2 linked regions of the Cricetulus griseus genome follow. The protein of the gene in region 1 purifies or fractionates together with the protein of each later gene. This does not show direct contact. Links are inferred from orthologs where the notes say so. Each region holds a gene or a part of one and is shown on either strand. Other genes may lie near its edges.

Evidence for each region. The genes of interacting proteins can lie anywhere in the genome.
Region 2: the proteins of Cdk15 (region 1) and Fkbp5 purify together in Homo sapiens (affinity purification with mass spectrometry; 3 studies listed by BioGRID and IntAct, counting the BioPlex papers as one, with this or other methods). This does not show direct contact. The link is inferred for Cricetulus griseus from reciprocal best matches to the Homo sapiens genes CDK15 and FKBP5.

The regions. Positions count from the first base shown.
Region 1 is NC_048595.1:413,523,917-413,528,205, reverse strand, and holds the start of Cdk15 (cyclin-dependent kinase 15), read right to left. Parts: upstream 2,900-4,289; 5' UTR 2,798-2,899; coding exon 2,675-2,797; intron 1,988-2,674; coding exon 1,838-1,987; intron 1,639-1,837; coding exon 1,541-1,638; intron 1-1,540. UniProt on the Homo sapiens protein: Serine/threonine-protein kinase that acts like an antiapoptotic protein that counters TRAIL/TNFSF10-induced apoptosis by inducing phosphorylation of BIRC5 at 'Thr-34'.
Region 2 is NW_023276806.1:233,539,723-233,543,373, forward strand, and holds part of Fkbp5 (peptidyl-prolyl cis-trans isomerase FKBP5), read right to left. Parts: intron 1,457-3,651; coding exon 1,300-1,456; intron 1-1,299. UniProt on the Homo sapiens protein: Immunophilin protein with PPIase and co-chaperone activities. Component of unligated steroid receptors heterocomplexes through interaction with heat-shock protein 90 (HSP90).

The sequences.
Region 1 (4,289 bases):
CCCCCTGGGTTTTTATATGGTTGTGAGCTCAAGTCAAAGCATTTCTAATGCACTTTTATCCTATTACTAAGCTGAGTTCATTGAAGGAAATACTTTATTTTTTTGGTTCTTAGCATAATTTGTGGTCATGAATAAAATTCTGGTTCTACACAATGCATTTCAGATTGTATTTCCCTAATAATATTATTTTAACAAAGATGGCAACAGGTATACAAATTCCAAATAAAAATACTTAGTTTTATAATATTTGTATTTTTAAAACATGACTACCATTAAGTCATTATTTTCTCTATTGGAGTACCATATATTAAAGGATAAACTTTTCCAACTTTTGGTAAGAAAGTAAGGATAACTTACTAGAAGGCAACCAGAAAGATCAGAATTCCATCTTAGAACCAGTACCAGGGTTTTGAATAAGCATTCTCTTTTTCCAGCCATTTTGTATATTTTACAGATTCAGAAAATACAGGATGTAGTTTTTTGCATATCTTATGTTAAGGAATCTTATTTTAAGATGTGCGACTTTTGTTTATGCTGCATTTGTTTAACTCTGTGAAGCTGTGATTCTTTGCCTGTCTCAAACACCTAATGGTCTAATAAAGAGCTGAACAGCCAATATCAAGACAGGAGCAAGGATAGGCAGGACTGGCAGGCAGAGAGAATAAATAGAAGGACAACTGAGGAAGGGAAGGATCAAGAGAATAAAGAACGGAGGACACCAGGGGCCAGCCACCTAGCCACACAGCCAGACATGGAATAAGAGGGAAAGAAAAGGTATACAGGTATAAAGAAAGATAGGGGCTGGAGAGATGGCTCAGAGGTTAAGAGCACTGACTGCTCTTCTAGAGGCCCTGAGTTCAATTCCCAGCAACAACATGGTGGCTCACAACCATCTATAATGAGATCTGGTGCCCTCTTCTGACCTGCAGGCAGAACACTGCATACATAATAAATAAATAAATAAATAAATAAATAAATCTATCTTTAAAAAAAAAAGAAAGATAAAAGCCCTGAGGCCTTTTTTTTTAAAAAAAGAAAGATAAAAGCCCTGAGGCCAAAGATAGATGGGATAATCTAGCTTAAGAAAAGCTGGCAAGAAACAAGCCAAGCTAAGGGCAGACACTCATAACTAAGAATGTATTTATTTGGGTGCTGGGTTGTAGTCCCCTCGAAAAGACAAAAGAGTAAAACATTTCACACTACAATTTCACACTTTGAGATTTAGGAAGGGATAAGAAAAACTCTAGAGACACCTTACTGGTTTCTCTATAGGTCGTAATTGCTCTTTGGGTCAACGGTGAAGGAAGTCTACCTTCTTTAGTGGTTGATTTTAGCTAAAGAAGATCTGTGTTGTTATGGAGTTTTTTTGTTTGTTTGTTTGTTTGTTTTTGTTTTCGAGGCTGTTAAAATCACCATATCTCCTTCCTGTTGGCCCAGATGTCCTGTCACAGTCCCAAAGGCTGTGAATGGCTGTGATACATTGGTTGGATTTATAATGCAATAGGAGACACCCCCATCTAAGGTCTGACAAATCACTCACCTGCTAATCCCCTTGTAAACTGTGGCATAAGAGCCTTCACCCAGCTTCTCCAAGTTCAAATAAGATGAGGCTGCCCCAAAAGGGAGGCTCTTCTTCTGCTTATGGGGTAGGGTGAGAGGTGACAAGACAAAAAGAGCACTTCAAAAATAATGTTGACTTGTCTTTTCCCCAGGAGCATTAGACAGCCTGTGTGTACGGGGGCGGGGGACCCACACAGGCATCCCTGAAGGTGGAGGCCAGCTTCCCTAGACAAGCACCCATGACATTCTTCTTGATGCCTGTCAATGGCTCACTCACCCATGGCAACCCTTGCCTCAGATTCTCTTCCTGAAAAGAGTCACTGTTACTCCGGGGCCTTTTGCTCTCCAGCTTCTGGTCACCAGGGCCCTGGAGTCCCCTGGGGTGAAATGAAGACAAGGAACACGTTGCTCCTTTTATGTCTGTTAGCTAGAGGAAAAAGAAAGTACGTGTACAAACTCAATTTGGTGGCTGGCAAAACCCTTGTTTTGTTTTATTTGCCTGTTTGCTTGTCTTATTTTATTTTATTTTTCTAAGCTCCCTCCACCCTCTGAAGGCACCTCTCCTGGAAATCAGGTGCCTTAGAGATCACCATGATACCTATCGCTGAAATGCCAAGTTTCTCCTTCACCTGCACAATTTCACCCAGTCTCCTTGATGGATGTTTTCCGATTTCTCTGTTTAACTCGGTCTCCCCCATGCCCACCCACGTTCCTACGTACTTAATGGAATGCCAGAATGATCCAGTAAGACACTGCTAATCATCATGAGATAATTACTGAACCCGAGAATCCACAGCGGACCTACCAGTATGGCAGCTTGCCCTCTACAGTTCAGCCCTGCCATTTAGTGGCTCGGAGATGGCCAGAGGAGAACCACTTTCTCTATTTCAAGTCAAAAGAGACCAAAGCCAAAGAGTATTCCCCTCTCCTGGTTTACAAGCACACCCCAAAACTTGATAACTACGGCCATAAATCCTCTGTGACTTTAATAGAATTTTCTTTTTATGAGTTTAGACCTACCGCAGAGGAATCAGACACTGCTACAAAAGGGAGCGTCTGCCTGAATTGCTTGGTTTACCAATAAAGAAAGATGCTCCTCCCGGGATCCAAATACCTCGAACGCAGCAGCCTCGGTGCTCCCAGGCTGGCTTCTCTGACAGCTGTGCGCCTCCCCTCTCTCCGAACGGTGGTAGCAACTGCATCCTGGCTGTCTCTTTGCACACAGCTCCTGACCCATAATAGTCCAGGTTCAAGTGGAAAACCCGCACTTGAACCTCTCCCCATCCGCCTCTCCAGTTCTCTTTCACTCCCTTTTTTGCCAGAGGTCAGCAGAGTGGAGCTTTCGTATGACTCACACGAGGGCTCTGTCTGGAGCAGCCTCATGACTTCAGCAGTTTTTGCTTATCAGTGCAAGGAACTACGCATCAAAACCGCAGCGGCTGGTGTTCATGTGTGCATACCCGAAAACAACGAGGCTCTTATTGGAGAGAATACATCAGGGTACACTGACTGCTATTACTCCAGGCACAAGTCAGTGCTGAGGCGACACCCGCTTTTCGGGAATTTGCACTGATGCATGTTTCTTGGGCTCCCCTGGTAGGGGCCAGCTAAGGAGCGTTCCATCCCTTGCTTTCATCCGAAAGCCTTTTGGTTTTCAAACTTTTTTTACTTTTTTTCATTTGAGGTAATAGCCCATCTATCCTTGAACTCGAAGCAATCCTCCTGCCTCAGCTTCTCCAGCTCTGGGATTGCAGATGTCAGCCACCTCTGCAATCTGACTCAGGTTGGTTTTCCAACATTAGAGCAAATTTGCAATCTAGCCAACTTTTAGAGTCAAAGAAACCACAGAGTGTGGGATGGGAAGGAAGCAAGGATTCCTCCTCCACCTCTGCCTCCAAGTTAAAGTACATCTCATATTCTGACAGGGCAGTCATTCATTCATTTATTCAAGCACAGTGTAATAAACATCTATGTTGGTAATACTCCACAGTGATGAGAGTCAATGGTGCAGAGAGTAGTTTGAGTCAGGTGTGTGGACACTTGAAATCTCAGTACTTTGCAGGCTGAAGTAGGAGGATGGTGAGTGAGGTCAAGACCAGCCTGGGCTATGGAGAAAGATTCTTTTTCAAATAAAGAAGAAACAGAAGAAGGAATGTGTATGTGCCCATAAGGTATCTTCCCATTTCCCCCAATTCCTTCCATTAAATATGTATACATATACATATATATTTAATGTTCAGGGTATGCAAATACTATATTAGTACTTGGCATTTTCAGGAATCTGGATCAGACTGCAAAGCAGTCTGTGATCTTGGGCAGAACTTTTGTTCTGTGAGAGACTCATAACACCATTGCCATTGTTGTATGCCAACCATAGGGTGTAGGTAGGCTACATGCACACATGTACAAAAATTTCAGGCATGCGCACTGTCACTGCTTCCCTGTGGCGAAGAGCTGCCAGTGAGAAGCTGATTGACAGCGAGAAGACCCTGTGCCTGTCCCAGCCTAAACAGAGGACTCAGACTGAAGCTGCAAGACCCTCAGGCCAGCTCAGAATGGCTCATCCGACTGCATTGACCTCCTTCTTCCCCTTCTGTTTCCCTGGGCTTGTGTTTACCGCTCCTCTTTCTCTCCAGTCTTCTTTTCGGGGACGCTGGGTTAAGACAAATGGTAGCCTCTGTTCGTTCGTTCGTTCGTTCGTTCGTTCACTCACTCACTCACTCACTCAT
Region 2 (3,651 bases), on another chromosome or scaffold:
CGAGAACTAGCTACACTAATGAACAGAAAGCAGTTTGATTTGCTTTGCTATCTTACCAGCTGGGTTAAGACTTACAGATCTGGGTCATGTGTCCCTGAATGGTTACACTTTACAGAACTTATCCTTAAGGGCTCAACTGTGAAAGCATATCTGAGACAGCCGCCACCTGAGTGTGGAGCTCCTGTAATTTTGGAATGTTAGATTAGAAGTGATTAGTAAACTTTAATCCCAGCACATGGGAGCCAGAGGCAGGCAGAGTTTGAGGTCAGCCTGGTCTACACAGTTGAGTTTTGGGGCAACCAGAGCTACAAAGTGAGAAGATATCTCAAAAAAAAAAAAAAAAAAAAAGATTGGAGACTGTAGGCTATGAAGTACCTGCTCTGCAAGTCTGCAAAGAGAAAAAAAGTTTTCAGTCAAAAAGTAGGGTAGAGTGAACTACAGCCCATTGCAAACTGAAACCCTGAAGCAGGACTGCAGCACTGAACAGGGTTGAGAGAAAGGCAGCAGACAAAGGGGCCTCGTAATGGCTTTAGGATCAGGACAGAGCATTCTAGAAGAACTTTCAAGGAAGTGTGGGCATGGCTAAAACTACTGAGGAACAGGATTATAGACAAGCACTGGCGTTTTGTCAGGGACCCCTGAGGGGTGAGGGCAGGCCGAAGAGTCTCAGAACTCAGATCTGCCAGTTGCAATCTGTGAGCCCGTGAGGCCACTCTGGCCAAGGAGATGCTCTTGCATGCAGGCATCCCTGGATTCTCTCAGGGCCCATTTCTCAAGATAGAAGAGTTGAATTTATGGTACAATTTTAGACCAAAAATAATACAAAACATGTTTTCACAAGAGACTGTCAGTGCCGGATAGTTCTAAGCTTGGAAGTGCTAATGGCTATCCTTATGACGGGAAAGATTTAGGCAAAAATGAGTCATCTCCGCTGTCTTTAGATCCAGGAAGAACAAGCTGGTTTTTTCTTCCTTCGGGGACTCCATATAAGAATGTGGCATGCATTCAAGGGGTAGTAAATCATGCCCTACTTCAGCTCTCAGCACTCTCCTGCTGAACTCAGAGGACAGAAAAGAGGACCAGCCAATCTTTGCTGATGTGGCACCATGGCATAGGAACAAATCAAAAACAAGGCTTATTTGCCCTATTCTTAAACATACTTGAGCTGAGCCAACCGCTCACAAACTTCCCGACTACCACCTGACTCAATGCAATGACCTCACTGTGATAGCAAAAGCACCGAGTGAGAGAGTAGGTCTTCAGACAGCTACACTGCATACGGAAACGGGCGCTTCTTACCGTGGTCCAAGATATAAAACACACTGCTCTTCCCTCTGCATTTTCTCCAGGGCTTTGTCAATTCCAATGGGAATGTCGTGGTCTTCTCCTTCACCAACAATGAACACCACATCTCTGCAATCAAACATCCTTCCACCACAGCAGCCTTCCAGGTGGACTGAGGGTGAGGAGACAGAACAGTCACAAGCCACCCCTCAGCACTGCCTGTCAAGTGAGCGGCCAACAGTGCAGCTCTGTCCACAAGACACACACAGTGTCTTCTAGAAGCTTTGCCCACCCAGTGTGAAAGTTTAAGAACAAGAATATTTTTCTGTTTTAGGTTAAATGAATACTAGTTTTCTTACCTGTGACACAAGGTCAGGATATACTGGCTTATTTAAACACACAATAAGGAGAATGCCACGCATCTAGTCCTGACAATATACAACGATGGCTTAACCATTTGTAACAGTATCTTGGGTTCAGATGCTTGGGTGAAATAAATAAACCAATAATAATGCCAAGCCTGGAATGTCATTTCTCCAATGATACATTCATGTTAGATTTTCTTTTCTTTCTTTCTTTCTTTCTTTCTTTTTTTTTTTTTTTTTGAGGCAGTCTTTTTATATATCTCAGGCTGGCCTGGAACTCTTATTTTCCTGCCTCTGCATTCCAAGTGCTTTCTTATTATATTATTACAGGCCGGCACCACATCTTGTTCCAATTACTTTGTATGGCGGTGAGGACTGACCCCAGGGACTTGTGCAACAACCAACCACAGAGCTACACCCCAGCCCAACTACCTTTAATGCCCATGTTCCATATGCCTTTCTCGAAGGTCTTTTACTCACTAAGAAAAATGGCTTGTGAGCCAGTGCAACAGTCACCACGATTCCTCTTTGATAATCTGGAAAGTTCTTAGGCTGCTTAACTGATGTGGGGTAAGTAACTACGTAACTTGCTTTACAGAGTCTTGAGAATCCACCCTCTCTTACACATTAACTATGTGTCCTATGACAGCTGTCAAATTCCAAACACAGACCCAATTCCAACTCCCTCCACCACCCTTATCTGATCTCAGCAGTCTCCTAAAAGGCCTGAAGGTCTATGATTCTGTTTCAGCTAGAAGCCACCTTTAATGCTAATTCCTGTGGTTAACCATTTGATCCAGCACCTTTAGCCTAGGCCTGATAAGTCAGAGGGACTCTGACTATCAACAGCAGGGCCTCAGTCAGCAGAGTCAGGACAACCTCCAGGACGAACACCACGCTGGTTGCTCCCTCGGCTGTCAACCCAAATCCTGAGTCAGTTCCTTCAAAGCAAGGGCTGCAGCCTGGATCTCAGGGTGTGCATAGAGCCTCTTGTTTTATTTCCCACACTTGTTAATATCTATGATGACCACTTCTGGAATGTTCTAAATAAAATAATAGCTAACTTGCAGATACCTCCCCCACCCCACCCCCAGTGCACAGGTAGCGTGAAAAAACCAGGTTGAGTGTAGTGTGAGAGGCATCCAGCTGGACAGCTGTGAGCACTGCCAGCAGCCGCTTCCATTTTTTTAAAAAAAGACTTAACTTTATTTTAAAAATTTAAAATACATGTACACCAGAGGTTTGGGAGCACAACTGAGGCCCATGGTTTTGTTTTTTTTTTGTTTTGTTTGTTTTTCTAGAGTAAAGGTGATGTTTCTAAAGGAACTGGGTTTTTAGGAAGTTGGGTATCTATTCTAAGCCTAGCTACTCAAAAGGCTGAGGCCGGAGAAGCATACACTGTGGCCTATCTCACAAGAAACAGTGAAGAGAGGGATAGGGGTAGCTCACAGTGGCAGAGTACTTGCCCAGTAGGTACAAAGCCTGAGGTTCAAGCCCCAGAACCTCCAAAAATAAACAGAATTTAGACCAACTTCTCACTAGAGATCTGCTGAGCACAGGAGTTCTTGCCCATGCACAAGGTAAGCACATCTTTAGACTGACAGATTTGGCGGGGGAGGGAATTCTGAAGTTTATTGTTAGGTGATCACCTTCCTCCTCAAGTGCGGTGTCTTTAGCTCGGAGGAAGCTATCAGTACATTTGTTGTGGCTTTTGGTCGATCAAGTCTGAATGTGTTTTCAAAACAGGAAGTCCAGAGACTTCTGCAAAGGGTCCCCACTTACTATCGGTTCCCTAGACTGATTCGCAATCATGTAATGTGTTTGAAATGACTACACAGTTTCAGAAATTCTCTTTAAGTGTGCAGGAAACAAGCAAAAAAACCAGAAAGTCAAACTGTATCAAAGGCATAGTTAAGAAAATGAATACTGAGGCTGGAGAGTGGCTCAGTGATGAAGAGCACTGGCCGCTCTGGTCAAGGCCCTGGGGTTCAATTCCTAGCAT